Oryctolagus cuniculus: one gene and its partners. The protein of the gene in region 2 interacts with the protein of the main gene of each other region in a biochemical or structural test. Links are inferred from orthologs where the notes say so. Each region holds a gene or a part of one and is shown on either strand. Other genes may lie near its edges.

Evidence for each region.
Region 1: the proteins of ubiquitin-conjugating enzyme E2 D3 (region 2) and SMURF2 form a complex in vitro, tested with the Homo sapiens proteins (12 studies listed by BioGRID). The link is inferred for Oryctolagus cuniculus from reciprocal best matches to the Homo sapiens genes UBE2D3 and SMURF2.
Region 3: the proteins of ubiquitin-conjugating enzyme E2 D3 (region 2) and TRIM33 form a complex in vitro, tested with the Homo sapiens proteins (2 studies listed by BioGRID). The link is inferred for Oryctolagus cuniculus from reciprocal best matches to the Homo sapiens genes UBE2D3 and TRIM33.
Region 4: the proteins of ubiquitin-conjugating enzyme E2 D3 (region 2) and RNF216 form a complex in vitro, tested with the Homo sapiens proteins (2 studies listed by BioGRID). The link is inferred for Oryctolagus cuniculus from reciprocal best matches to the Homo sapiens genes UBE2D3 and RNF216.
Region 5: the proteins of ubiquitin-conjugating enzyme E2 D3 (region 2) and RNF14 form a complex in vitro, tested with the Homo sapiens proteins (2 studies listed by BioGRID, with this or other methods). The link is inferred for Oryctolagus cuniculus from reciprocal best matches to the Homo sapiens genes UBE2D3 and RNF14.
Region 6: the proteins of ubiquitin-conjugating enzyme E2 D3 (region 2) and ARIH1 form a complex in vitro, tested with the Homo sapiens proteins (2 studies listed by BioGRID). The link is inferred for Oryctolagus cuniculus from reciprocal best matches to the Homo sapiens genes UBE2D3 and ARIH1.
Region 7: the proteins of ubiquitin-conjugating enzyme E2 D3 (region 2) and RNF8 form a complex in vitro, tested with the Homo sapiens proteins (4 studies listed by BioGRID). The link is inferred for Oryctolagus cuniculus from reciprocal best matches to the Homo sapiens genes UBE2D3 and RNF8.

The regions. Positions count from the first base shown.
Region 1 is NC_091448.1:14,171,750-14,175,249, forward strand, and holds part of SMURF2 (E3 ubiquitin-protein ligase SMURF2), read left to right. Parts: intron 1-725; coding exon 726-921; intron 922-2,965; coding exon 2,966-3,069; intron 3,070-3,500. UniProt on the Homo sapiens protein: E3 ubiquitin-protein ligase which accepts ubiquitin from an E2 ubiquitin-conjugating enzyme in the form of a thioester and then directly transfers the ubiquitin to targeted substrates.
Region 2 is NC_091438.1:28,033,138-28,036,782, forward strand, and holds ubiquitin-conjugating enzyme E2 D3, read right to left. Parts: upstream 2,404-3,645; 5' UTR 2,231-2,403; coding exon 1,787-2,230; 3' UTR 501-1,786; downstream 1-500. UniProt on the Homo sapiens protein: Accepts ubiquitin from the E1 complex and catalyzes its covalent attachment to other proteins. In vitro catalyzes 'Lys-11'-, as well as 'Lys-48'-linked polyubiquitination.
Region 3 is NC_091438.1:55,985,968-55,989,467, forward strand, and holds part of TRIM33 (E3 ubiquitin-protein ligase TRIM33), read left to right. Parts: intron 1-814; coding exon 815-878; intron 879-1,334; coding exon 1,335-1,494; intron 1,495-2,923; coding exon 2,924-3,273; intron 3,274-3,500. UniProt on the Homo sapiens protein: Acts as an E3 ubiquitin-protein ligase. Promotes SMAD4 ubiquitination, nuclear exclusion and degradation via the ubiquitin proteasome pathway. According to PubMed:16751102, does not promote a decrease in the level of endogenous SMAD4.
Region 4 is NC_091450.1:39,630,311-39,634,482, forward strand, and holds the start of RNF216 (E3 ubiquitin-protein ligase RNF216), read right to left. Parts: upstream 2,801-4,172; 5' UTR 2,638-2,800; intron 1-2,637.
Region 5 is NC_091437.1:29,528,012-29,531,511, forward strand, and holds part of RNF14 (E3 ubiquitin-protein ligase RNF14), read left to right. Parts: intron 1-701; coding exon 702-930; intron 931-3,500. UniProt on the Homo sapiens protein: E3 ubiquitin-protein ligase that plays a key role in the RNF14-RNF25 translation quality control pathway, a pathway that takes place when a ribosome has stalled during translation, and which promotes ubiquitination and degradation of translation factors on stalled ribosomes.
Region 6 is NC_091443.1:110,729,969-110,734,079, forward strand, and holds the start of ARIH1 (E3 ubiquitin-protein ligase ARIH1), read right to left. Parts: upstream 2,801-4,111; 5' UTR 2,473-2,800; coding exon 2,098-2,472; intron 1-2,097. UniProt on the Homo sapiens protein: E3 ubiquitin-protein ligase, which catalyzes ubiquitination of target proteins together with ubiquitin-conjugating enzyme E2 UBE2L3.
Region 7 is NC_091436.1:132,279,698-132,283,197, reverse strand, and holds part of RNF8 (E3 ubiquitin-protein ligase RNF8), read left to right. Parts: intron 1-2,958; coding exon 2,959-3,087; intron 3,088-3,500. UniProt on the Homo sapiens protein: E3 ubiquitin-protein ligase that plays a key role in DNA damage signaling via 2 distinct roles: by mediating the 'Lys-63'-linked ubiquitination of histones H2A and H2AX and promoting the recruitment of DNA repair proteins at double-strand breaks (DSBs) sites, and by catalyzing 'Lys-48'-linked ubiquitination to remove target proteins from DNA damage sites.

The DNA of each region.
Region 1 (3,500 bases), on a different chromosome or scaffold from region 2:
CATTTGAATTAAGTACTTCATTATATAATGAAGTTCTAAAATGTTCTTAGGTGCCAGGAGAATAAACATATTTGGACAAAGTACCTTTATTTTCATATTTTCTAGCCATGTATATGTGGCTAGAAGTCACTTGTGCACAACGATACGAGCATACTTAATGCAACACTGAAAGTGTGCACCTAACAGTTTGCTAAAATGGTACATTTTATGTATTTTTCCACATATCCAGACCCATACACCACATGCAGTCTCTTGATAAATGACTTAGGCTTGTTTGTAAAGTGCTCACTTCTCTATGCCAGTAACGTAAGTGAGATCTACATTCTGGTGGTCTAAACTGTAGCAGTTATAGAAGGAGTCCCTGCCAAGTTGTGGGTTTAGCTCTTTTGGAAAGACAGACTCTAGATAACTAGCTGTATTTGGCATATGCTTGGATTTTAAAATGGGTGATGGTAAATTATGTAGAAGAAAAGGGAAACAGTATTTGAAAAATTTGTTTCCAGCAGCTGTATAAAACTTCGTTATCCAATTCTGTCAATTCATATGGCCCATGAGAGGTAAACTTTGGAGTCGGTTTATTGTTGCCAAAAATACCAAGCTGGTGTATGTCCTAATAAGGCTTGGGCAATGATACAGTTAGACTTGTTTTACAATATGATGCTATTTTAGATGTATAACTGCAATATTTATTTTAAAATAGTTTAATAATATCTCTTTACTTTTAGCCGGCAAAACCAGTTAAAAGATCAACAGCAACAGCAAGTGGTGTCATTATGCCCTGATGACACAGAGTGTCTGACAGTCCCAAGGTACAAACGAGACCTGGTTCAGAAACTAAAAATTTTGCGGCAAGAACTCTCTCAGCAGCAGCCTCAGGCTGGCCACTGTCGCATTGAGGTTTCCAGGGAGGAGATTTTTGAGGTAAATTTTACAAGTCTTGTTTTAAAACAAAGAAAAGTTAAATTTAGCATTTGACTTTCTGCTTTCCAACAATACTTTTTTGGAACTCCTATCTCTTATAGAAGAATTTTCATTAGCTTTTAATTGTGGGAGATGAAAACAGTATATTTGGAGAGATTTCATAAGTAAGATAAGCTATTAAATGGGATGAAGAGTGTCACAAGTTCAGCTGGTTCAGTTTTGTCTCTGTGAATGCTTGGTGAATTTTTAAAGGTCACAGATATTATCCATCCCTTGCTAATTCTTCTGAAAGCTAAAGGTCGGTCTCTCTCTCTCTCTCTCTCTCTCTCTCTCTCTCTCTTTTAAAGATTTATATATTTGAAAAGCAGAGTAATGCGGTGGTGGTGGGGTGGAGGAGGGTGATCTTCCATTCACTGGTTCACTCTTCAGATGCACCAGGGGCTGCATCACACTGAAGCCAGAAGCTTTATCTAGATCTCCCACATGGGTGGTCAAGGCCTAAGCACTTGGGCCATCATCAGCTGCTTTCCCAGGCACATGAGCAGGGAGCTGGATCAGAAGTAGAGCACCTGGGACTCAAAATGGTACTCATAAGGGATGCTGGCATTGCGGTGACGCCATAACATCTGCCCCAAGGAGGACTAAGTCTTTTGTCTGATTATTATTGGGATACCATAGTTATTTTATTATATTTTAAAGGCTTAAAAGCAACATTTATCAGAATCAAAGACCTCCAGCCAGAGTGAAATGAATGGAAGAAGGCTGCAATAGAAGCAGAAGCCCAAAGGACCCCATGGCACTGGGTTTTTTAAGTACAATTTCAAAAGAAAAAAAATTGACAGATTGGCATTCAGTTACCAGGCAGGGACAAAACCCATCAAAAGACTTGATTTACAATCCTTTATTGTATCTGGCTTGTTCATGATAAAATAAAAAGCCATCCAGAAGGGTGGGATAAGTAACTTGTTTTCATAATAAACTGTGAGCTCAGGAATATGCAATCACCAATCCCTTGCTGAAATTCTCATGGTAAATTTGGAGATTCTGAAGGAGGGAGGGTGGACATTTTGCACTTGCTAAAGATAACCTTTTGGGGGGAAGCCTCAAATTCCACTGGGACCACCCTGACTGCCTATTAACCCATCTGACTCATCACATTCCCCCCTCAACAAGAATGGGCCCTTACATCTGTTAGGGGGACTGGACGATGATTGCTTCGGCTGCTTCATGTTGAAAAGGGGCGTCGTTGGGAAGGGCAGTCAAGACAGGGTTCCAGCTGGAGGCGGTTCTCTAGGGGGATGCAGTTCTCCAGGGGGATGCAGTGCCAGCTTGCAGAAACTGCTTCTGTCCAAGGTTCCATGTGCATGGCCACCTAGAATTTTACTTTTTCAAATCTGGAGAAAACAAATCTAACAAGTAGTTTTATCTCCCAGGATCTAAAACTGAGGACAGAGTCTTTTTTTTTTTTTTTTTTTTTTTGACAGGCAGAGTGGATAGTGAGAGAGACAGAGAGAAAGGTCTTCCTTTGCCGTTGGTTCACCCTCCAGTGACCGCCACAGCTGGCGCGCTGCAGCCGGCGCACCGCGCTGATCCGATGGCAGGAGCCAGGAGCCAGGTGCTTTTCCTGGTCTCCCATGGGGTGCAGGGCCCAAGCACCTGGGCCATCCTCCACTGCACTCCCTGGCCACAGCAGAGAGCTGGCCTGGAAGAGGGGCAACCGGGACAGAATCCGGTGCCCCAACCGGGACTAGAACCCGGTGTGCCGGCGCCGCTAGGCGGAGGATTAGCCTAGTGAGCCGCGGCGCCGGCCCCAACTAGGTTTTAAATATTTATCAAATGAATTGCTTTCAGTATGATTAAGCTTATACCCATTGTTTCTTAAAATTCTGTGACGTTTAAAACACTTGGAGTTTACCACTTGATTTAGTGAACATTATTTCACTTTATTTAAATAAAATTATGTTTTGTAGGCAGAATGTAAGAGTAAAGATTTAAATAGTTGTAGGCTAAAGGCATGAAATAATATATTTAAATTTTTTTTCAGGAATCATATCGGCAGGTTATGAAAATGAGACCAAAAGATCTGTGGAAGCGATTAATGATAAAATTTCGTGGAGAAGAAGGTCTTGACTATGGAGGGGTTGCCAGGTAAAGACTTGCTTGTCAATTAGTGATGTATGGATCTTTGTACTTGATTTTTTTTTTAAGATTTATTTGTTACTTGAAAGAGTTACACAGACAGAGAAGGAGAGGCAGAGAAAGAGTTCTTCCATCTGCTGGTTCACTCCCCAATTGGCTACAATGGCTGGAGCTGCGCTGATCCAATGCCAGGAGCTTCTACCAGGTTTCCCATACAGGTGCAGGGGCCCAATGACTTGGGCCATCCTCTGCTGCCTTTGCAGGCCATAGCAGAGAGCTGGATCGGAAGTGGAGCAGCTGGGTCTACAGTCTTGGACTGGCGCCCATATTGGATGCCGGCACAGCAGGTGGCAGCTTCACCCACTAAGCCACAAAACAGGCCCCTGTACTTGATCTTTATACTTGCAGATTTAAGTTACTTTCTGGGATGTAACTTTTCT
Region 2 (3,645 bases):
AGTCAGACCAGGAGAGATATTCTATCTGCTGGTTCACGTTCCAGATGCCCACAGCATTCAGCGTTGGGTGAGGCCAAAGTCAAGAGCCTTGAACTCAGTCTGGGACCAACTCCTTGAGCCATCACCAGTGCTTCCTAAGGTGTGCATTAACAGGTTTCTGGAATTGAAAGTGGAGCTGTAACTCCAAACCAGACACTCTGATATGAACACAGGTGTCTGAAGTGGGGACTTAACCATTGAGTTTAATAATACTTTTAATCTTCTACCTGAAGTAGATTTTTTTCAGTTATTCTTCCAGTGAGTATCTGTGGTTGGTAAATTTTCTCTTTGTCTGAAAATATCTTAATTTCTTTTTTTTTTTTTCAATAGCATTTTATTCATTCATGTTAAGTCACCTGAAATGATCTGTTTTAAATGCTCATTAATGTAAATGGCTGAACAAATCCATTTCAATGGATACTCAATATCCCACATAGTTAAGTCACTTCAACACAGCCTCATGACAACTCCCACACCAAAACAGTACTTTATTTTGTAAATTTTGACCCATTATTACTCCCAAGTTATGTTTTTATCAGCTGTCAAGTGTACAAGGTGAAGATAAGTTTTAGTTAGATGGGGCTACACCTGGAAAATAAATTTCTTAAAACTCCATATACACGCTTCAAAACTGCTGGGTCCCAAGTCCATCTATGAACTCCAGGGCTGCCAGTATCACGGTGCAGCATATTAAAGCTACACTATCTGAATAGCTTATTAATTCTGCATAAATCAGGTCAAGCAATGTGTCAACCTGTAACAGACTGTGCACTCTAACTGAACATGGCAAAATATTCATTCTTTTGAACTTTACATCATCATTTGATGTCAAACAATGAAGCAAATCCCAACAGTATATACAAAAAACAGCTTTGCATTTACAAAAGATTGTTTCCTATACTGATTAATCCAGGCAGCTAACTCATTGGTTTATGCAACTTTATTGAAGAAAAATAAATCAATTACTAGCAGAGCTATTAGTTGATCACTCATCCATTGACAACTTGCATCATTTATTCAGTGCTATATTAAACAGTGTATTGGAAGATAGATTAACTAATAGCTCCAAGCCTCCTAACAATTTAAATGAAAATTACAAAATGTTTGAGACCCTATTTTGGAATACAAAGGGTGTTTGACTTTCAATTTCCATTCTCTGTAGAACAAGAACAGGTCATTCCTTTATTGACATGCATAAAATACATCACATTTTCTGTTCTGCTGATGCTATAAATTCAATACCAATTCTCCAGCCACATCAGTTATGAGCATAAAGTATATCATGTAACCTCAAATCTCTAACAGTGGAAGGCTTAAACAAGAATGGATGCTGCTAGAATAATGCTGCTTCCTTTGATGTGACAACTGAGCATCCATCTCCCTCCCTCTCAGATGATTTCTTCAGCATGTTAGAGCAGTGAGGAATGGTTTTAGTCTCATAACCAAGTTAGAGTGAAGACATTGGCCACATAATACACATGCTCCATTTTTTTAAAAAATTCTGAATCTTGGGCAACTGTTCTCTTGTAACTACTTTACAGTTTCTAAAAGCAGTTATTGTCCAAAGCTGGAAGAACTTAAGTCTTCTCAGATGAGCATGTGAATGAATGGAGGGAGGTAAACAAAAAATAAAATTAAAAAAGATGAGGTCTGATAGGGGAGCAGCCGGATAAGAAAATCAAAAAAGGAACAGTAATTTAAAGTTTATTCCAGCTATAATGCAGGTTATTCTGACTTTAAGGTAGCATCACATGGCATACTTCTGAGTCCATTCCCGAGATATTCTGTTGTACTTATCTCTGTCTGTTTTATAGATCCGTGCAATCTCTGGCACTAGGGGGTCATCTGGGTTTGGATCACATAGCAGTGAACAAATGGATAAAAGAACTTTAGAAATAGTTAAAGCAGGAGACCACTGTGATCTTAGAATATCGAGACAAATGCTGCCATTACTGTTAATATTTGGATGATAAATTCTTGTTGTAAATGCAACCTTAGGTGGTTTGAAGGGGTAGTCTGTAGGAAAATGAATTGTCAAAAAGAATACACCGCCTTGATATGGGCTGTCATTAGGTCCCATAATTGTGGCTTGCCAGTGAAACATATCATCCCCAACTGGACCTGCAGAACATTGTGCTGGAGGGTCACGGGCCAAATCACTAAGTTCCTTATTAATCCGTTTCAGCGCCATAGTCTGTGCTTTTAGTCTGGCTCCTCTCTCCCTCTCTCGGTGTATGCTCAGAGGTCCGGCCAAAACTCTTGATTATCCGGGCGGCGGGGAAGGATTGTCTCTTGGTCTCACGCCGGCTCTGCCAGACACAGGCGCTTGGTATGGAGGCGGCGGGTATCGCGAGAACGACGTGGACGGCTCGAAAATATCTTAATTTCATCTTCACTCTTGAATATTGGTTAAAAATGCTGTGGAGTTTTAGTTTGATAGGAATTTTATATTGAGTAAATTTCTCCAAATATTTAGCTTATCATACTACTGAATCGGTATGCTTTCTAATTGATCTTTGTCTTCCTACCTTCTGAGTCTCTTTTCATGACAATTTGTTTTTAACAGCAGTTAACTTCACAAAGGGCTCCATTGTGAGAAAGCAAAGGAAGATGGATAAATTCAGTTTCTACCTTCTCTTGCTGCAGTCATATTTCTTTCTTCTACATTCATTGTTTTCCTTTCCTGCCTGGAAGTTGGGTGCCTGTGGCAGACTTGAGATCTATATCACAACCTTATTCATTCCCTGAAAATTTGGCCAAGAATGGTGTGAGGTGGAAGCAAATAGAGCATTTCAGCTGTGAGAGAAAAATTATTGGCGTAAGGAAACAAATGTAATGAGCCAGAAACTGGATCAAGCTATACCAGCATGAGAAATAGTCACAACATCTAATGTGACCCGCAGAGATAAACAAGATTTGACAAAGGCATTTTGTATGCACCAATCAGTCTTTCAGCTTATTCAGGAATTAGGGCCTGAAATATAGAGATCTTAGAACACTCAGAATCCTTGACCAGACATAAATAATGAGTGCCCATTTACAGTGGAAGAAAATTAGTTCTATAAAACTGAGAGACTTGCCAATATTAGCTGCCAAATTAACAATATTGAGGAGCTCGATTCAGTCATTGCCAGTCTCTCCACCAGGACCAAACATCCTGACTTTTTCAGCACATGAGGGGTTATCAAAGCATTACCAAGATGTTGGCACTAAGAACCAGCCTCCTGTTAGATGCATTAACTCATACAAGTAACAAAGGAGGATTCCTTAGCCATCCTCTTCCATTTAGTTTTCCCTGAAGCAACGAAAATTCTAAAAGACAGATGAATGAGCTCTAATAGCACATTTTGTTTAGATTTATTTTCATTTCAATTCTTACATGCACCAACTACAAATCATCTCCTGCATAGGTGGTGAAATTGCTTGATTATAAGCCAGAAAGAACCAGCTTGCTGTAAGATATTTTGAAGTCCTATGACGTATCATCACCCTTCTAACAGGGATTACAATAATAGCTGGTACTTACTGAATCCATATTGTGGGCTTGGCACTGTGGCATTTAACATAGGGTGTTTGATTTAATCCTCACAACAGTCATACAGCATG
Region 3 (3,500 bases), about 28 Mb from region 2:
TCTTAATTTAAAATAATTAATTAACTTGAGATAGATCACTACCATTTGCTAACTCACTGCCCACTGGGGCTGGATCAGGTAGAAGCTGGGAGCCAGGAACTCAACCCAGCTCTCCTACATGTGTGTCAGGAACCCAGCTACTTTAGCTTACTGTTGTTGCCAGGATCCACATTACCAGGAAGCTGGACATAGGAGCTGGAGCCTGTTTTTTTGTTTTTGTTTTTTTTTTAAACAGGCAGAGTTAGACAATGAGAGAGAGACAGAGAAAAAGGTCTTCCTTCCGTTGGTTCACCCCCCAAATGGCTGCTACAGCCGGCATGCTGCACCTATCTGAAGCCAGGAGCCAGGTGCTTCCTCCTGTTCTCCCATGCGGGTGCAGGGCCCAAGCATTTGGGCCATCCTCCACTGCCTTCCCGAGCCACAGAGCTCATAGCAGAGAGCTGGACTGGAAGAGGAGCAACCGGGACAGAACCGGCGCCCCCAACCGGGACTAGAACCTGGAGTGCTGGCGCTACAGGCGGAGGATTAGCCTAGTGAGCCCCGGCACCAGCCTGGAGCCTGGTTTTAAGCCCAGACACTCTTACATGGTATGTGGGCATCTTTACTGATAGACTAAATGCCCATCCCAAAGGAGGATTCTGGGATCAACTGAGAGAAAGCTGGTTAATGGTTATACTTGGCATCCCTAACTTTGCAGCTGGCTCTGATCTCCAGGAATTTCTAAGTTAGGGTTATAACCTTGAGTTCCTTAGCTACTAAGTAGAATTCTGAATCTTCCTATATGGCTTGATTTTTATTTTGACTTACTTTTTAGGTTTATCCAATTCTCACACACCTGTGAGACCTCCTAGTACCTCTAGTACTGGCAGTAGAGGCAGGTGAGTATTTATTATTAATACATATTTTTTTCTTTTTATTAAGAAAACTTCAAATATATCTAACAAAATGAACACCCATATACTTATCATCCACCCCTAAGATATCTTACTTTGCATATGCTAATACTTGAAAATTCAAAAAAATCCTGAAACACTTCTCATGCCAAACATTTTAGATAAAGGATTCTTAACCTGCATGGGCCTTGTTTAGTAGATTCCTTAAGTGGTTTACTGTAAGTGCCTCAGACCAGAAAATGTATTTTTAGAAAGTCTTTTGGAAGTTTGATCTGTATTTTCAAACAGTTTGAATCTAGGTCAATACCATATTTCTGTTAGCCACATTATGAGGTGTCCTTATCTTCTATGAGGTTAATTGTTGTCTTCACTTTAATATGGTTATTTTCTTATATAGTTGTTGTACCATATTTGTGACCTTTATTTGTTGTTGTTAATTAGCTGTGGGTCATCAGGAAGAACTGCTGAGAAGACAAGTCTTAGTTTCAAATCTGATCAAGTGAAGGTCAAGCAAGAACCTGGGACTGAAGATGAAATATGTAGCTTTTCAGGAACTGTAAAACAAGAAAAGACAGAGGATGGCAGGAGGAGTGCCTGCATGGTAAGCACCCTTGTGGTCTGGGAAGGATTTCCCAAAGTCACTTCACTGATTCTTACGTCTCTGAGTCTCTTAGACTGAGAAGAGGTCCCAGAGTCTGTCAGCTTCGCGCCTGGCATACTCCATATATATACCTCTTCTCCAACTCGACTTTGTTGGTAAAAGGCAGCTGTAATCAGAAAAGGTTTAATTGTATTATGTACTCATTTGGAATTATCTTTGAATTTCTGTTTAGTCAAGTTTTTTGATTGTTTGTTTGTTTGTTGCCATGGTTATAAATCGGGTTCTATCGTATTCTGAATTTATTTATCATTCTCTGTATTCACATTGAATCTCAGGCCACAAAAGAGCCTTAGCTGTTCACCTGGTCTTAGGAGCTCAGCATTAATGTTGCTGACATAAAAACAGTTTATTGATCAGTTTATTGTGATGGGAAGATTGTCTTTTTGCTTACAAATTATTAACCATTCTAGAGCAAATGGAAGATTTCATAAAATTTAGACTATAGGATAAAGAAAGACCCACGCCTCTCTTTGTTTAGCAGTTTAGATTTTTGTTATTTCTTCTTCCTCAGACTGGCACGTGGGAATTTCATCTCAATGTATTAGCATATTTAATACTTTATAAGTGCGTATTTATTTATTTGAAATGCACAGTTACAGAGGAAAAAGAGATCTTCCATCCGCTGGGTCACTTCTCAAGTGTCCATGATGCACTGGGCTGAGCTAGGCCAAAGCTCCATCCAGATCTCCCACATAAGTGTCTTCTTCCACTGCTTTCCCAAGCACATTAGCAGGGATCTGGATTGGAAGTGGAGCAATTGGGAATCAAATCTTCTCTGATAAGGGATTCCAGCATTACAGGCAGGGACTTAACGCACTACGCCACAATGTCGCCCCTATTTGTGTGTATTTTTGAGAGAGAACAAAAGAGCATGAAACAGAATTATCCTTGTGTTTGGAACAGTGTCACCTCTTGATACAGAACTTGATTTGGAAAATACCTCCATGAAAGTGGGTGCATAAAGGTGTGGAAGATTTCCTTTACATTGTCACAATATTCCTACATCAGTAGAATGAAAGGGGGATTATTATAGAATGCTGCTGAAGTGCCATGAGCAAATTCTCGTGTGAAAAATAGTATCCTATAATGAGAATAACCCTGTGCTCACTTCTGAATCAGTGTGCTTAGTTTAATTAATTTCCTTGTTATCTGAGTGAATCAATATTAGAGGGGCAGACCCCATAAGATTACATATTAGCATGCTTAAATAAATTTAAGGTTATTTTTATTCCTTTATGTCACTAAAATGATTGACAAAATAATTTTATGTCACCTTATCTATATGGATATTGACAGAACTTTCAAGTAAATATTGTGAAACAATAAGGATTAAATGGTTCTTCAAGAATTTGTCATTGTTTTGTTTTAGTTGAGCAGTCCTGAGAGTAGTTTGACACCACCTCTCTCAACCAACCTGCACCTAGAGAGTGAGTTGGATACATTAACAAGCCTGGAAAATCATGTGAAAACCGAACCTACAGATATGAATGAAAGCTGCAAACAGTCAGGGCTCAGCAGCCTGGTTAATGGAAAGTCCCCTATTAGAAGCCTCATGCACAGGTCGGCAAGGATTGGAGGAGACGGCAATAGCAAAGATGATGACCCAAATGAAGACTGGTGTGCTGTCTGCCAAAATGGAGGGGATCTCCTATGCTGTGAAAAATGTCCAAAGGTCTTTCATCTAACTTGTCATGTTCCGACCCTTCTTAGCTTCCCAAGGTACCAGTAAAATAATTGATTGTTTCTGTATCACATTTTCTTTATTCATTCATCTGATTTTTGTTGTTTCTTTTCATAGGCTAGAAACAGTAGGAAATTGTTCCAGGTGCATGTCCTTTACAAGTGTGTAGTATCTCTATAAAATGGGGAACCTCTTAGTTCTTTGGTATTACCTTCCAAACAAACTGTAAATAGAACAATAAAATGTCTAGAATCTTAAGGGTAAC
Region 4 (4,172 bases), on a different chromosome or scaffold from region 2:
CTTCAGCCCTTCACTTCCTCAGAGAAAACCCTTTCCTATTCCCCTCCGTACACCGCCGCCCGCTCCGTGAACTCATACAGCATCCCTCAGCTGTCCAAAGTACTTAGCACAGTAGAAATGTCACTCGGTCACTCAGGACACTGCTCACCACGGCTCTCCATGCTAAACCTTCCAAGAAGGCGGGATCATCTGTTTGATTCATGTTTCTCGCCCCAGGACACAGCACGGTGCCAAGCACAACGCTGCCACTTTGGCAACACTTTGTGAATAGGCAGCATTCACAGGTACAGATGGACAACTAGTGAAAGACTCCGGAAACACTGAATTCAAGTCCTGACCCTGACCTTCAATGTGACCAAGTAAGCTGTTTTCAACATCTTAGTTTCTTCCCCTTAGAAATAGACAATGAGGCCAGTGTTGTGCATAGTAGGTTCAAGACCAGGCTGCTCCACTTATGATCCAGCTCCACGCTAACGGCCTGTGAAAGCAGCGGAAGATGGTCCAAGTGTTTGGGCCCCTACCACCTCCCATGTAGGAGACTCGGATGAAGCTCCTGGCTTTGGCCTGGCCCAATCCTGGCTGTTGCTGTCACCTGGGTAGTAAACCAGCAGGTGGAAGATCTGTCTCTCCTCTCTGTAAGCACGCCTTTCAAATAGGTATTTAAAAAAATATATTAAATAAAGATAATGGGGCCAGCAGTGTGCTGCAGTGGGTTAAACTGTGACACTGGCAACCTACGTCAGACGCCTGTTCAAGTCCCACGACACTTCCAATCCAGCACCCTGCTAAGGCACCTGGAAAAGCAGCAGCAGATGGCCCAAGTACTTGGGCACCTGCCACCCACGTAGGAGACCAGGATGGAGTTTCTGGCTCCTGGCTTCAGCCTGCCCCAGCCAGTTGGCAAAAACAATGGATGGAAGATCTCTGTCATTACACCTTTCAAATAATAATAAAAAACTAGCTGGCGCCACGGCTCACTAGGCTAATCCTCCACCTGCAGCGCCGGCACCCCGGGTTCTAGTCCCGGTTAGGGGGCCAGAGTCTGTCCCAGCTGCTCCTCTTCCAGGCCAGCTCTCTGCTGTGGCCCGGGGAAGGCAGTGGAGGATGGCCCAAGTGCTTGGGCCCTGCACCCCATGGGAGACCAGGAGAAGCACCTGGCTCCTGCCATCGGATCAACACGGTGCGCCGGCCGCAGTGGCCATTGGAGGGTGAACCAACGGCAAAGGAAGACCTTTCTCTCTGTCTCTCTCTAGCTCTGCCTGTCCAAAAAAAAAAAAAAAAAAAAAAAAAACTCTAGCCTGAAGTAAACCAAGACTCCACTAGTGAGCGTAATCAATACTAGCTCATCCTCCCGTCAGCAAACACTCCTCTCCCGCCCATCCTATCTGTATGCTTTCAGTCTCCGAGTCAGAACCCAAATCATTAGACTTTACTACAAGGCCTTCAAAGGTTTTTTTTTTTTTACGATTTACTTATTTGAAAGTTAGAGTTACAATGACAGAGGAAGAGACAAAGAGATTCTATCTGCTGGTTGACTCCCCAAATGGCCACAACAGCCAGGGTTTGAGCAGGGAGGCAGGAGCCAGACTCCTCCGGGTCTCCCACGCAGGTGCAGGGGCCCGACGACCTGGGCCACCCTCTGCTGCTTCCCCAGGCCACAGCAGGGAACTGGATCGGAAGTGGAGCAGCCGGGACTCCAACTGGTGCCCGTACAGGACGCCTGCAGCGGGTTAACTCACAGAGCCACTCAACAGCTCTCTCTTCAGAGGGGTCCCTGTGTGCAGCGTCTAGCGAGGGTTACGCAGGGGTGCAAACTCTGCCCTAAGCCCGCCAGCCTGCTCCTCCAACTCACCACCATGCCCTACCCACAGGGCACAGTGAATTAACCGGACACAAGGCAAAGCCACGGAGGCCACTGCTTAGGCGACCTCCCCAAGTCGGGAAGAGGCCGGGGGCTTTTCCCTGTCCTCTTCCCGCCTCCTTCCAGGGCACGGAGACGATGTTCTGTCTGCACGGTCGAATCCCCAAGGACGACTGCCCCCAAGTCGCCGACCGCGACGACTGGAGCTGGCACCGGTTCGGAGCGGCCGCCAGGCTCCACAGCAGAGGCCAGAGCTGTCTCGGGGCCGGGCCGCCCGCGCGCCCCGCGCCGCCCCGGGACCCCGGCCCCGCTCGGTGACAGGCGCCAACTTCCGCCGAGATCCCGGGACCGACGGCGAAAGGTCGGCACCCGGGGGCTGCGGGGAGCAGGGTTCAAAGTCGCGGTCCGCCTCCTCCGGCCGGCCGAGGCCGCGCGCGCGGCTGCACGGACCCCGCGGGTTCCAGCCCGGGACCGGCGGAGCGAGGACCCCCGAAACAGACGCGCGGGCCGCCCCGCGCAAACTTCCCGAAGTGGCGGGAGCGGGGCGCCCGGACGCCCGCAGCCCTTCCGCCCGCTCCAGCCCCGGCTCCAGCGGCTCGGCGGCGTCCTGAGCCGGGCCCAGACCCCGGCCCGCGCCCCCTCGGCCCGGCCGCCCTCACAGCCAGCCCCTCGCGGCCCTGGCCCCCGCCCCCACTCCCACAGGGACTCCCACCGGGCGGCGGGCAGACAGGCCGCCTCGCCTCAGGCCCCGCGGCCAAGCCGGCCTCGCCACCCACCTCGCCGGCTCGCGACGCGAGCTCGCCCGGCCGCCCGCCGCCGCGGCGTTCAGTCAGCTGGCTCTACCGCCGACAGGTCCGCCACCGCCACCGCCGCCGCCGCCGCGCTCCTTCCGGCCCTGCCGCGGCGTCACCTCGCGCCTGCGCACAGCGCCCCCTCCCGACTGCTGACAGGAAGAACCATAGAGGCACGCGGGGCGCTGGGGAGGAGAGACCATAGAGAGGGCCGCCTAGCCGCGCCCCCCTGCGGCGGGCCGCCCGCGGGGCCTCGACTCCCCCACGAGGCGGGAGGACGAAAGGACGGGAGGCCCCCTGCTCGACCCCTCTCGGTGGAGAGGAAGGGATTGGAGGGCAGGTGGCCGTGGGAGGGCCAGGTGCCCGCTTATTTGCAGCCCCCGCCTTTGGTAAGTCGCCCATCGCTTCCTCGCGAAGTGCCCTGACGGCTGCGTGCGTGCTGGGCGCTGTTCGTAGGAATGGCGGGTGCCATACTTGAGGAATACTGTGACGTTTTAGTTGGGCGGCCAAGAACTAACTAACAAGACTGACTCAGGCAGGGTGTGTTGAGGCCGCAATTCAACCCAAGGAGGGTGGGGGGAATACATAAAGCAATAATAAATAAATAAAGCAATGAGAAGGGGTAGTGTGGGTGGCTGGAGAAAGCCATTTCCCCCAGAAAAGCAGGTGTTTGAGCCAAAACTTTGAAGGCGGTGAGGGCTTGAGCCGTGGGGACCACCCGGGCTAAGAACACCTCCATAGAATGATCTGGAAGCGGGGAGGGGCCGCTGTGGCGCACTCAGCTTCCCGCGCGAGTCCGGGCGGCCCCACTTCCGACCCAGCATTCCTTTCTCCTGCTTCCCGGAAGTGCTCGTGCCCCTACCGGCCACGTGGGAGACCCGGATGGAGCTCTTGGCTTCCGCTGCCGCCATTTTGGGAGTGGGCCCGCGGGTGGGAAATGGCTGTCTCCCCTCCTCACTGTAACGTTGCCTGTCAGATAAAATACTTAAAAAACAAGGAGAGAGGGGCTGGAGGGTTAAAGCCCCGGCCTGCGGCGCTGGCGTCCCATACGGGCGCTGGTTTGAGGCCTGGCCGCTCCACTGCCGACCCAGCTCCCTGCTAATGTGGGAGACTCGGAGGAAGCTCCTGGCTCCCGGCTGCGGATCGGCTCAGCTCCGGCCGTTGAGGCCATCTGGGGAATGAACCAGCAGATGGAAGACCTCTCTCTCTGTCTCTGCCTAACTCTTTCGTTCAAGTAAATAAAAGTAGGGGCAGAGGCCCTGCACAGGCATGTGTCCTCCCTCCCCCCCAGGGCTGCAGCATCCAGGTGTTCCCCGCGGGGAGCAGGGGCGTGAGTGGTGTCTCCGGCTGCTGGGAGAGTGTAGAGAGGGCCGGGGAGAAGCAGGAAGGCCGGTCTGGGGCTACTGCAGGAGTCTAAATGGCAGACCGTGCTGGCAGACTGGTACGGTCGGGGAGGGGGAGGAGGCGGTGGCAAACGGACAGACCTGCAGGCTGTGTGGTGGCCACGCTGGTATCCCTTA
Region 5 (3,500 bases), on a different chromosome or scaffold from region 2:
AGTCAAGGGTGATGACTCAGCTAGTTGGATTCCTACCACTTATGTTAGAGACCTGGGTGTTGAGATTCCGTCTCCTGCCTTTCCTTCCCTCTCCCCCTTCACAGCCTTTGTGATCACTGGGTAAGTGAACCAGCAGATAGAAATGCTTTCTCTAGCTCTAGTTCTGTCTCAAACTTTTTAAAAATTTAATTATACAATCTGTTTAGTTTTTGACATATGTGTAGACAACCTCAGGCAGGATGCAGACTGTTACCACATTTTTAAAAAAAAAAAATTTAGGAATTTATTTGAAAGGCAGAGTTACAGACAGAAAGAAGCAGAGACAGAGTTATCATCCATCTGCTGGTTCATTCCCCAAACGGTCGCAAAAGATGGGGCTTGGCCTGGCTGAAGCCAGGAGCCAGGAGTTTCTTCTGGGTCTCTCACAAGGGTGCAGGAGCCCAATATCTGGGGTCATCCTCCACTGCTTTCCCAGGTGCATTATCCAGGACCTGAATCGCCACCTATCTGGGAAGCTGGCTCTGCAGGCCATGGTTTTAATCCACTGTACCACAGTGCCGGCCCCTGGGTTTAATTTTGAAGTGAGGTGGAGGTGTTAAATTGTGTGCTCATCTGGTTTACGCCAGCATCTGCAGCATCTCCTTAGGGTCAGAACTGGCTGGGGAGTCCTCATACCTGTGGCGTTTTGCATTTCCTTCCAGGTCAAGGAGCTGGTGGAAGCAGAGTTATTTGCCCGCTACGACCGCCTTCTCCTGCAGTCCTCCTTGGACCTGATGGCAGACGTGGTGTACTGCCCCCGCCCGTGCTGCCAGCTGCCTGTGATGCAGGAGCCGGGCTGCACCATGGGCATCTGCTCCAGCTGCAATTTTGCCTTCTGTACCTTGTGCAGATTGACTTACCATGGGGTCTCTCCGTGTAAGGTGACTGCAGGTATGTCTGAATGCATGGACTGAAACCGCCTATCCCTTGCTTGCCGTCAAAGCCCTGCGAGTCCAGTTCTTCAGCCTAGAGATAGGCATTCAACAGACATTTCTTTGCTGGTTACTGTCCTGGGCTCTGGGGATGTAGTAGTAACCAGAAGAGACAGACTCTCCTAAGTCCCTCATTCTTAGGGACTTGGACAGGCAGACAAGGTAAATAAGGACATTAGGTGGCGGTGAGTGTCAGGGAAGCCCAGGGAGTAAAGCAGAACAGCACTTGAGATGTTTTGAAGGCAAGGTCCTTGGGATTTTAGGTAGAAAGACCAAGGGCGCCCTCTGGCAGGTGGCCTAAGTAAAGACTTGAAGGTATGCATGTGAGGGGGGACATTGTAGAGTAAGAACAGTGAAGGGATTTCCTCTGTGAACGTGAGCATGGACTGTGTAGGGCCCGGGTGGCAGATGCAGGGCATATAAGCTTCCACTCCTGTATCCACTGCAGCTTCGATGGATCAGTCACCAATCACTTTCTTTTTTTTTTTTTTTTTTTTTTGACAGGCAGAGTGGACAGTGAGAGAGAGAGACAGAGAGAAAGGTCTTCCTTTGCCGTTGGTTCACCCTCCAATGGCTGCTACGGCCGGCATGCTGCGGCCAGCGCACTGCGCTGATCCGAAGGCAGGAGCCAGGTGCTTCTCCTGGTCTCCCATGGGGTGCAGGGCCCAAGCACTTGGGCCATCCTCCACTGCACTCCCTGGCCACAGCAGAGAGCTGGCCTGGAAGAGGGGCAACCGGGACAGAATCCGGCGCCCTGACCGGGACTAGAACCCAGTGTGCTGGTGCCGCAAGGCCGAGGATTAGCCTAGTGAGCCGCGACTAATCACTTTCTCACTGAGCCCAGAGAGGCCCAGAATCTTCCTACTGTGGCCCTTCAGAAAGGCACCCTCTGTTAAGTTGGCACAGGTGGTGAAACCTGTTTGCCATTTCTGATCTAAATAAGGAAATTTAGGCCTTTAGTGATGGTTTAACTGGGCTTTGATGGCTTTGTCTCTCAGACTGATAAGGATGATATGATAGTGATTTCACAGGTTATTCTCGAGATCCAGTGGCCTAAGTACTGCCACGCAGAGGAGTTGTACTTAATGATCTGATGCAGATATATCATTGCATATAGAAATCAAGAGTCAAGGTTAGAAACTTTAATAGTGATTTCACAGAAGCATTTTGTGTCAGTCGTGTCTGATAGAAACTTGGGCTTGTACTTTCTTTTTACTTTCATTCTTTCCTTTGATTGCATTTTGTGAAGTATTTAGCCTTGACAGATTGGGTATGAGAAACAAAGCAAAAATGGTTCTTGCTGTGGATAAGTTGAGAAACAGTGGGCTAAAATGTGTAAAATGGAAACTGTGTGTATTGTTATGATGATTAAAGATTGCCAGTGTCACAGAGCATCATTGTTTACAACAAAGTGCCCTGATGAGAGAGGGGAGTATAGCATTCTGCTTGCCGAGGACAGAGCCTTGTGAAGGGTAGGGGCAGGCCATGTTGGAAAGTATGAAATAATAACAGTTTCGTTATTTTGAGAACATTAGAGCAGAGGCCTTTGTCCTTAAGATGTGAAGAACCAGAAAAATGTTTTAATTTATTAGAGGGATAAAAATAACAGGGTTAAAAGCATCTGTGCTGTAGAAGTAGAGGAGACACAGGGCTGGCATTGTGGCGTAGTGGATAAAACTGTCAGCTGCAGTGTCGACATCCCACATGGACACCAGTTCAAGTCCCAGCTGCTCTACTATCCAGCTCTCTGCTGTGGCCTGGGAAGGCACCCGCATCAGAGATCCAGAAGAAGCTCTTGGCTTTGGGTTGGCTGAACTTTGGCTGTTGCAGCCATCTAGGGAATGAACCAGCAGATGGAAGACCTCTCTCTCTCTTTCTCTCTCTCTCTCTCTGCCTTTAAAATAAATAAATAAATCTTTAAAAAAAAAAAAAAGTAGAGGTGACAGAGCGATGGGAGTGCATAGCACACAGAAGGATTCAGAGAGGAAGGGAAAGACCACCGAGAGAATTTTGTCTCAGAAGTGTTCATTGCGGGCGGTGTTGTGGCATAGAGTGTTGAGCCGTGGGCACTGATCTGTGTCCCAGTTGCTCCACTTCCAATCCAGCTCCCTGCTAATGGTCTGGGAATAGCAGCAGCAGATGGCCCAAGTGCTTGGGCTCCTGCCACCCATGTAGGGGACCTGGAAGAGGCTCCTGGCTTCAGCTTGGCCTTGCCCCGGCTTTTTGGGCCACTTGGGGAGTGAACCAGCAGGTGGAAGGTCTCCCTGTCTCTCCTCTCTCTGACTTCCAAAAAAATAAATAAATCTTCAAAAAATATTCACTACTTTAGGGATCAGCGATTTGGCGCAGCTGGTTAAGTTATCGCTTAAAACGCTAGCATCCCATATCAGAGCCCCGGTTTCAGTCTTGGCTGCTCCTCTTCTGATTCAGTTTCCTACTAATGCACCTGGGAAAGCAGTGGAAAATGGCCCAGCCTTGGCCTTTGTGATCCTTTGGGAAGTTAACCAGCAGATGGAAGATTATCTGTCT
Region 6 (4,111 bases), on a different chromosome or scaffold from region 2:
AGAGACTGCTTTGTTTTTGCCCTCTCTCCTCCACTGAAAACAGAACACACAGCATGATTCCACCGGGACTGGAAACTCCGCGCAGCTATCCCGAGGTCTGGAAAGGTAACTACAGTTCAGTTTAGTGTTCTCTCTCTGAGCGGAAGGCTTATTTTGTCATTTTATTTTTCTTGCCTAGTCACTGTTTTTTTCCTCACAATGTGGATTTATTACTTGCATAACTTTTAAAGTCTACATCTATTAATAAAATGAACTTGCAACATAGCCAAAGCCCATCTGAGACCTAGGTAAGTATACCATTTGGAGAAAAAATGGTCACAGAAACACTCTGCCCTTCGATTTTATTGCTATTTCTAAGAAGGAGGTTTGAACAAGGGATAGATACTTATGAGTATACAACACCAGGTATATTCAGGAATCCTATTTAAAACCGATCTTACAATAAGGCAGACGATGAAAGTTTTCTTTCAAAACACCAGGCATGGAAACAAGGTAAAAGTAGGACACATAAAAAAGAAAAAAAGTCCCTGGTATCCTGTAGGTCTTATTAGTTCACTCCATCAGCATTTACTCTCTCTCACTTAAAAGAATGCTATCACATGCACTGGTCACATTTCTTTCCAGAAGTGACATAAAGAACTTGATTGGGACCTTTGGTAATTAACACAAGCCTCACAGCTGAGAAAACTAGAAGAGACTTAACCACAGGAAAAACAGACTTCAAAAAAAAATCAGAAAACTAAGTAACAAATATCTACAAGTTTTTTAAAGCTAATTAAAATTGCAGAAGGCCAGGCAATAAGCTTGAGAACAGATTTTGTATGACAGCTGTAAATAAAGTTTCACTTTAAATTCCTAAAATTCTCTTTAGGTAAAAAAAGCAAGCTCTCAATTCGGTGGCCCAGTATTTCAACTATCGTTATTTGTGGAATTAAAAAAAAAAAAAAGCAGTAAATTTGTACCTAAAACCGTTCGGCTTCCTTCTTGGATCCCAACTGTTGAAGAACAGCACTAGATACGAGACTCCCTGTTATTCAGAACGGGAAGTGCTGCCTTCAAAGACGGGGCTACTCTGAGACTGGTGCTTACTAAACTACTCCACGGGGTCCGCTGGAAACGGAGTCAGGACACAGGCCACGACACACTGCTGATCGGGGACCCAGCGAGCCGCCTGAGGGATTTCTAAAAAAGTGCCGAGGGACAGGCAGGAAAGCAACAGCAACTGCTGCTCGCGCAGGGAGCCGGCGTCTTCGGAACGCCGCACCGGATCAAGGCATTTTTATTCTGCAACCACATCCCTTGCCGCCTCACCACGATTTTTCCCTCAATAAAAAGTTTTGATTTCCTTAAAGAAAAAAAAAAAAAACACCTGCAAAACCCGATGCACAGGCTTAAAGGAGCCGCGATCACCGAATTCGGCCAAGCCTCGCTTCCTGACCACGGAGCAGGAGAGCACCGAGCTCAGACACAGAAAACCTCACAAAACGGAGCCCCGTCCAGGGGGACGCCCTGCGCTCGGGGGCTGCCCGGCGAGCCGCAGGGACGCGTGTGCGGCCGGCCGGAGCGGCCCCGGCGCTCGCCTGCAGCCAGCCAGGACGTCACCGCCGCCAGCAGCAGCCGCGCCGTCGGAAAGGGCCCACCCGCGCCTCTTCCCCTCCCCCGAGCAGGCAGGCGCTCGGCCTGCCGGGCGGATCCGTTTCTCCTTTGACTCGTGCCCGCTTGGGGCAACCGTACACCCAGCTGCTCGCGGGCCTGCCCTAGTCCCTCCCCAGACCGGCCCGGAGCACCCAGGACCGGGCCGATCCCCCGCCACTCCTCCTCCTCCCGCACCCGCGCCCGCCCCGCCCCGCGCGGGAGGCAGCCCGCGGCCGCCGGGCCCGGCGCGGCAGGCATCGGCCGCGAGCCGGAGGCCCCGGGCGGCGGCGGCAGGCCTGCGCCATGGCCGGGGCCGGGAAGCGCCGCCCCCGCGCGCCTCCCCGCGCCCGGCCCGGCCCGGCCCGGCCCGGCCCGGCCCGGCCGGCGAGCGCCCGCCCGCGCACCCTGCATCCCCGGCAGGGGCGGCGGCGGCCGGCAGGCCCGCGCGGCGGCCACGCTCACCTGGATGACCTCGTTGACCTCCCGGATGCACTCCACCATGTGCTGCAGGATCTGCTCGGCCGTGAGCACCTCGTAGCGGTAGTCCTCCTCCTGCTCGTGCCCAGGCCCGCCGCCGCCGCCGCCGCCGCCGCCGCCACCGCCGCCGCCCGGCCCCAGGGCGCTGCCGCCGCCGCCGCCCGTCTCCCCGCACAGCAGTCCGTCCCGCTCCCCGCCGACGCCCAGCCCGGGCTCCACCAGCTCCACCTCGCCCAGGTCCAGGTTATCATCGTCCGGCTCGTCGTCGTCCTCGTCCTCCTCCTCCTCCGCGCCGCTGTCCTCCTCGCTGCACTCCTCGTCCTCGTCGAACTCGTAGTTGTAGCCCTCGTCCGAGTCCATGGCGCGGCGGACGCTGGCCGAGGCGGGGAGAGGGCGGGGACGCCGAGGCCCCGGCTCTCGCTCCGGCTCCGGCGGGTGTCCGGGGCGCAGGCCTGGCTGCGGCCGCGCGGGCCGCGGCTCCTCCCCGGCGCGGCGGCGGCGGCGGGCGGCTGGCGGCGGGCGGCGGGCGGCGGGGACGGCGCGCGGGAGGCGGCGAGGGAGGCGGCGAGGGGCCTGTGGCCGCCCGCCTCAGTCAGACGCCGCTCCGCTCCGGCCTCCGAGAGAAAACAGCCCCCAGCGCCACCTCCACGGCCGCTGCTGCCGCTACTGAGCCAACAAAGGGGCGTGCGTCACCGCGTCGCGCTGCGTCGCGCGTCACGCCCGTACGTCACCGCGCCCCGCCCCGCCGCCCCTGCGCGCCGTGTGCGGGAAACCCCGCGGCCCGGCCCGCCAGGTCGGCGAGCGCCGCGGCGCCCCAGGGTCCGTGGTGCGGCCGAGCGGCTCTGCGGGGCCGGGGCCCGTGGGGGTGGGGTGGGGGCGCCTCCCACGAGACGGCTGCGGCTCCGTGGCCCCGGCGGCGGCTGTGACCGCGGGGGACCCGTCCGTCCCCTGCGCGGTCCAGGGGGACCGGGCGTGACTCCTGGCAGCCGCGGCTCTGGACTCGAGCCCCCCGGGCCCCCGGGCCGCTGAACTGTGGGGGTTGGGGGGCGCGGGATGCTGCGCGCGCGCGCGCGTGGAACCTACGCTGTGCGGCAGGTGCAGCTCGCGCCCGTGCCCCCGACGGTGACGTCACGCGGCGGGCGCTGCCTGGGGCCCGAAGCTCCGAGTTCGCCTGGGCTCCGCTATCTGCGCGCCGGACGGGGCCCGAAGCCAAAGGGGCCGGGCAGGCCACGGAAGGCGCTCCCTGTGCTTGGGGGGGGGTTGCTGGACAGGCGTCAAAACGCTTTGTAAGGACCCGGTGCGGTACGCCGGGCACCGCCCCACAACGCGGCGCCGGTGGGGGCGCGGGCACCTGCGTCCTGCGCGCCCAGGGCAGGCGGGGTGCGAGGGAGCGAGCAGGACAAGCAGGTGCACTGGCGAGGTGCTGGCACGGCTCCGATGCCATCCTGCCAGTGGACTTGGCGTCTTTGTAAACAGGAGAGCCGGGGAAACACGCGCAGCCCAGAACATCCTATCAAACGCCAGGCGCTCGGTGTCACCCAGCAACCCGTGTCGCCCCCTTGGTAACTCCCGTTACACCTTTGCTGGTTTCCCCCAACCCTGCTCACAGCAGAGAAATGGGGAAAACACAAGGACCAGGAGCGAAGCAGTGGAAGCCGGCCGTTGTTGCAATGGGAAGCGTTGCAGGGTTTTAGAAGAGTGAACTTGGGATCTGTGTTCCCGAAAAGAACCCTGGCTCCTGCGTGCAGAATGGGCTGTGAAGGCAGAGACCGGTTAGGAGCCCGTCTTAGAAGTCCAGGTGACCACAGGGCCTTGAGCTCGGGCAGTGGCAGGGCAGGTGATGAGAAGAGACCGGATTCTGCCTTAATTTGAAAGGGGGGCCAGCACCATTGGCTGCGGGTCTGGCGGTGGGGAGGGCTCCAGGATGCCTGCTAGACTTGGGGTTCATCAAAGTTTGGTGGGGTTCTGAAACCAGTGAAGTGGCAGGGGCTTGTTGGGT
Region 7 (3,500 bases), on a different chromosome or scaffold from region 2:
TCTAGTCCTGGTTGGAGCGCCAGATTCTGTCCCGGTTGCTCCTCTTCCAGTCCAGCTCTCTGCTGTGGCCCGGGAGGACAGTGGAGGATGGCCCAAGTGCTTGGGCCCTGCACCCGAATGGGAGACCAGGAGCACCTGGTTCCTGGCTTCGGATCGGCGCAGCACACTGACTGTAGTGGCCATTTGAGGGGTAAACTAAAGGAAGGAAGACCTTTCTCTCTGTCTCTCTCTCACTGTCTAACTCTGGCTGTTAAAAAAAAAAAAAAGATAAAGTGCCTGCTTATGATGTTCATATTCTAATAAAGGGGAAGGGAAAAGTAAAACAAGATAATTTTGGATCATGGTAACTGCATGCTAATAACATGAAGAAATACAATGGGGGAGGGGAGCAGATAGCAACAAGACCTGAGGCGCTGAAACTTGAAAGGTGACAAAGCACCGCATAAAGATCTGAGAAGTGAGTGCCCCAAGCCAAGTGGACAAGGGAGAAGGCTCCCAGGTCAGTGGATGTTGGAGCGGGAGGTGACAGAATGAAGAGAAGGCCTGATGGCTGAAACAACTAGCGTCTGGGCTGTGCATGGCACTAAGGGAAAGGCATGAAGGCGGTCAGGACATTGGCGGCTTTACGGCTTTGGGAAGAAGTTTGGATCATTGAAAGATTTTAAAGGAAGAAAGGAAGTTACCTGATTTAAAGTTCTTATTACCACTCCAGCCGGTGTGTGTGTGAACAGAGTTAAGGAGGATGAGAACAGGAACAAGAAGCCCAGTGGTTTGGACTTGGGTAGGGGTCATGGGGATAGGAATGAGTAGGCTGAGATGTGTTTGAGTCACTGCCATAGAATCGCTGCCAGTTGAGATCTGGGGCTGAGGAACAGATCGATCAAAGAGGGCTTGTGGGTTTGGGGCTGAGCAGTTTGTATAGATGGCAGTGTCGGTTACTGAGATGAGAGTTTGTGGAAACCTAATAGATTAGGTCAGAGAGAGTCACGGTCCTCAGTCTGAGGGACAGAGGAAAACAGGCGTGAATCTGAAGATTTTAAAATCGATAAAGAGTAGTTTTTCAAAAACCACAGGTTTTAATTTAATGTTGCCAGCTACGTTTACAATGTGGATCATTAAGGAGGTGGTTTATGCACTGAGAACAGCAAGCATGGAATTCTAAGCCTAGATGACAGAAGAGTTTCACTTCCCACCTTCGCTGGGCTGTGTGAACCAGACAGGTCAGTCAGGAAAGCATGACAGTTGGGAATTAGCGTTCTGTTCAGCCTTGTCCCTGTGGGAGACAGAGGACTTGGACTCAGTGCAGAAACTCGGATTGGATTATGACTGAAGCTACACTCAGACTGTTAGTAGAAGCTTTCTTGAGAGCTTTGTCTTTGGCTACATCCCATTTCAGTATATTTGTGTCTTGGATGAAGGTACAGAAAGCATATCAATTTGGTGAATGATTTAAAGCTGCAAGGAATATTGAGTATGTCTGATCTGATGGCGGATTAAAAATCAGAAAAGTCTTGACAAGCCGGTGTGATAGGCTGAACTAACAAGATGAAATTTAATAGGGATCAATGTAAGGTCCTGCACTGGAATCCAGATTTTTCCAACTAGTCAAGTACAGGCTGGAAGAAACATGATTTAGCATAGCAGTTCTTGGGGGAGGGGAAACATCTCTAAGTTTGAGGATATCCTTCCAGGGCACTGGATCTGCTTTGAAAGCTAATGCCATTTATATGCTGCAGTGGTAATATCAAGAACTGGGAAAGTGATGCTTGGCCTTGATTATGTAATGGAAATTAAGTTTATTTTTCTTAATATGGCATCCAGGTGTCGCTCCCCCTCTTCGTGGAGGAACGACACTAAACCCTGCCTAGGCTTCATATCCGAGTCATGGCACCATTATGCCGCTCCCCCTCTTCGTGGAGGAACGACACAGGACCCTGCGCTGTTCTTTCGTCTGCTCGGCCCTCCCCGGGTTTGCTGCTGGTTCTTCCCGGGTTGGCTACTGTCCCTTCCACCTCCGTGGAAGGGCAGTTCCCCCTGGCCACATTCCCCACTTCCGCAGGGGAGCGGCACACTGCCAGCCGGCTCTCTCGGGGGCTGCACAGGTGTTCCCCTTAGATGTTCCTGGTGCATGCCGTCTCTCTCCTCCTTTATAGTCCTCCTCCGCCAATCCTAACTCGGCTGCCCACACGCCGAGTACGCTGCTCTCCTCCAATCAGGAGCGAGTCCTACAGTTTATTGGCTGAACTGGAGGCAGCTGTGTAGAAGCTGTTTTCTTCTCTCCCAGCGCCATATTGTGGGAGAGCAGATGCATAGAATAAGTCTTAATTCCAGTAACTCAGTCTAGTCCGGGTTGCTCCCCACATCCAGGAATAAAGATAAGCTAGGAGTCCTTTCACAGATCAATTAGAATGACAGAGATTCAAACCCGTACATTGGAGGAAGGTTAAAGTAACTAGGTTCCTGAGCCAGGAAGAGAGAAGACTTGGTAGATAGCTGTGACTTGGAAAGGGAGTTGGGGATTTTCTGATAGTGCCCAGGACAGAGCCTCAGCCAATGGATGGAATGTATAGGGAGAAAGGACCACTGGAAAAGCAGGGGGCCTGTCTCATCTAAACGCTGTGGTTCTTGGCTGTGTTTTAGATTTGTTGATTGGGATGTGTGGAAATAATTCCTTAATGTCATGGGTGATTGAACCAGATGACCTTTCCAGGACCTCCTAACCTTTACATTCCATGGTTAATCCCTTTCAGCTTCTTCTTTTTGTAACTTCTTTCCTTTTTCTGTGTGCTGGCTTTGTGGCAGCTGAAGAGGAAATCGCCGAGGATCTATGTAGGTTTTGCAGGAATCCGGGTTTCGTAGGTCAGGATCTGTGTACCACACTAGTTGATAAGCTTGTAGAGGGCCTCCCTATTTCGCATAATGATTGATTGTGTCTCTTCATTGTTGTTACCTTCCTAGGTGTCTCTGGGACGAGGATTTAGTGTCACATACCAACTGGTGTCAAAAGTCTGCCCTTTGATGATTTCCAGAAAGCACTGTGTTTTGAAGCAGAATCCTGAGGGCCAGTGGACAATTATGGACAACAAGGTACAGGAAATCACAGAAAGAGGACTAAAGATTTTTAAAATTTTTAATTTATTATTAATTTTTTTTGCATAGATAATTTATGAAGCAAAATGCAAACGGTTTACCTGCTGCCCTCCCACCCCATTCTCTTTCCCAGAGGCAACTACTGCTCTGTTTTGCTAGAGATTAGATGATGCTAAAATAATTTCCCATGACTTAGATTGAAGTTGGTGCCCTTAAAGTGAACATTTGCGTTGGAGGCCGTAGGTCCTATTCCAGAAACTAGATTAAATTGCTGTGGGAATTGACCCTTTTGATGCAAGATCCAGAAACCCTAGAATCTTCTACAGCTTTTGGAGTTCACCAGAGGGAGGAGAAAGAAAGTGAGCTGATTGCATTAAGCTCCTTTCTTTCCCCACTGCTTTAAATCAGAG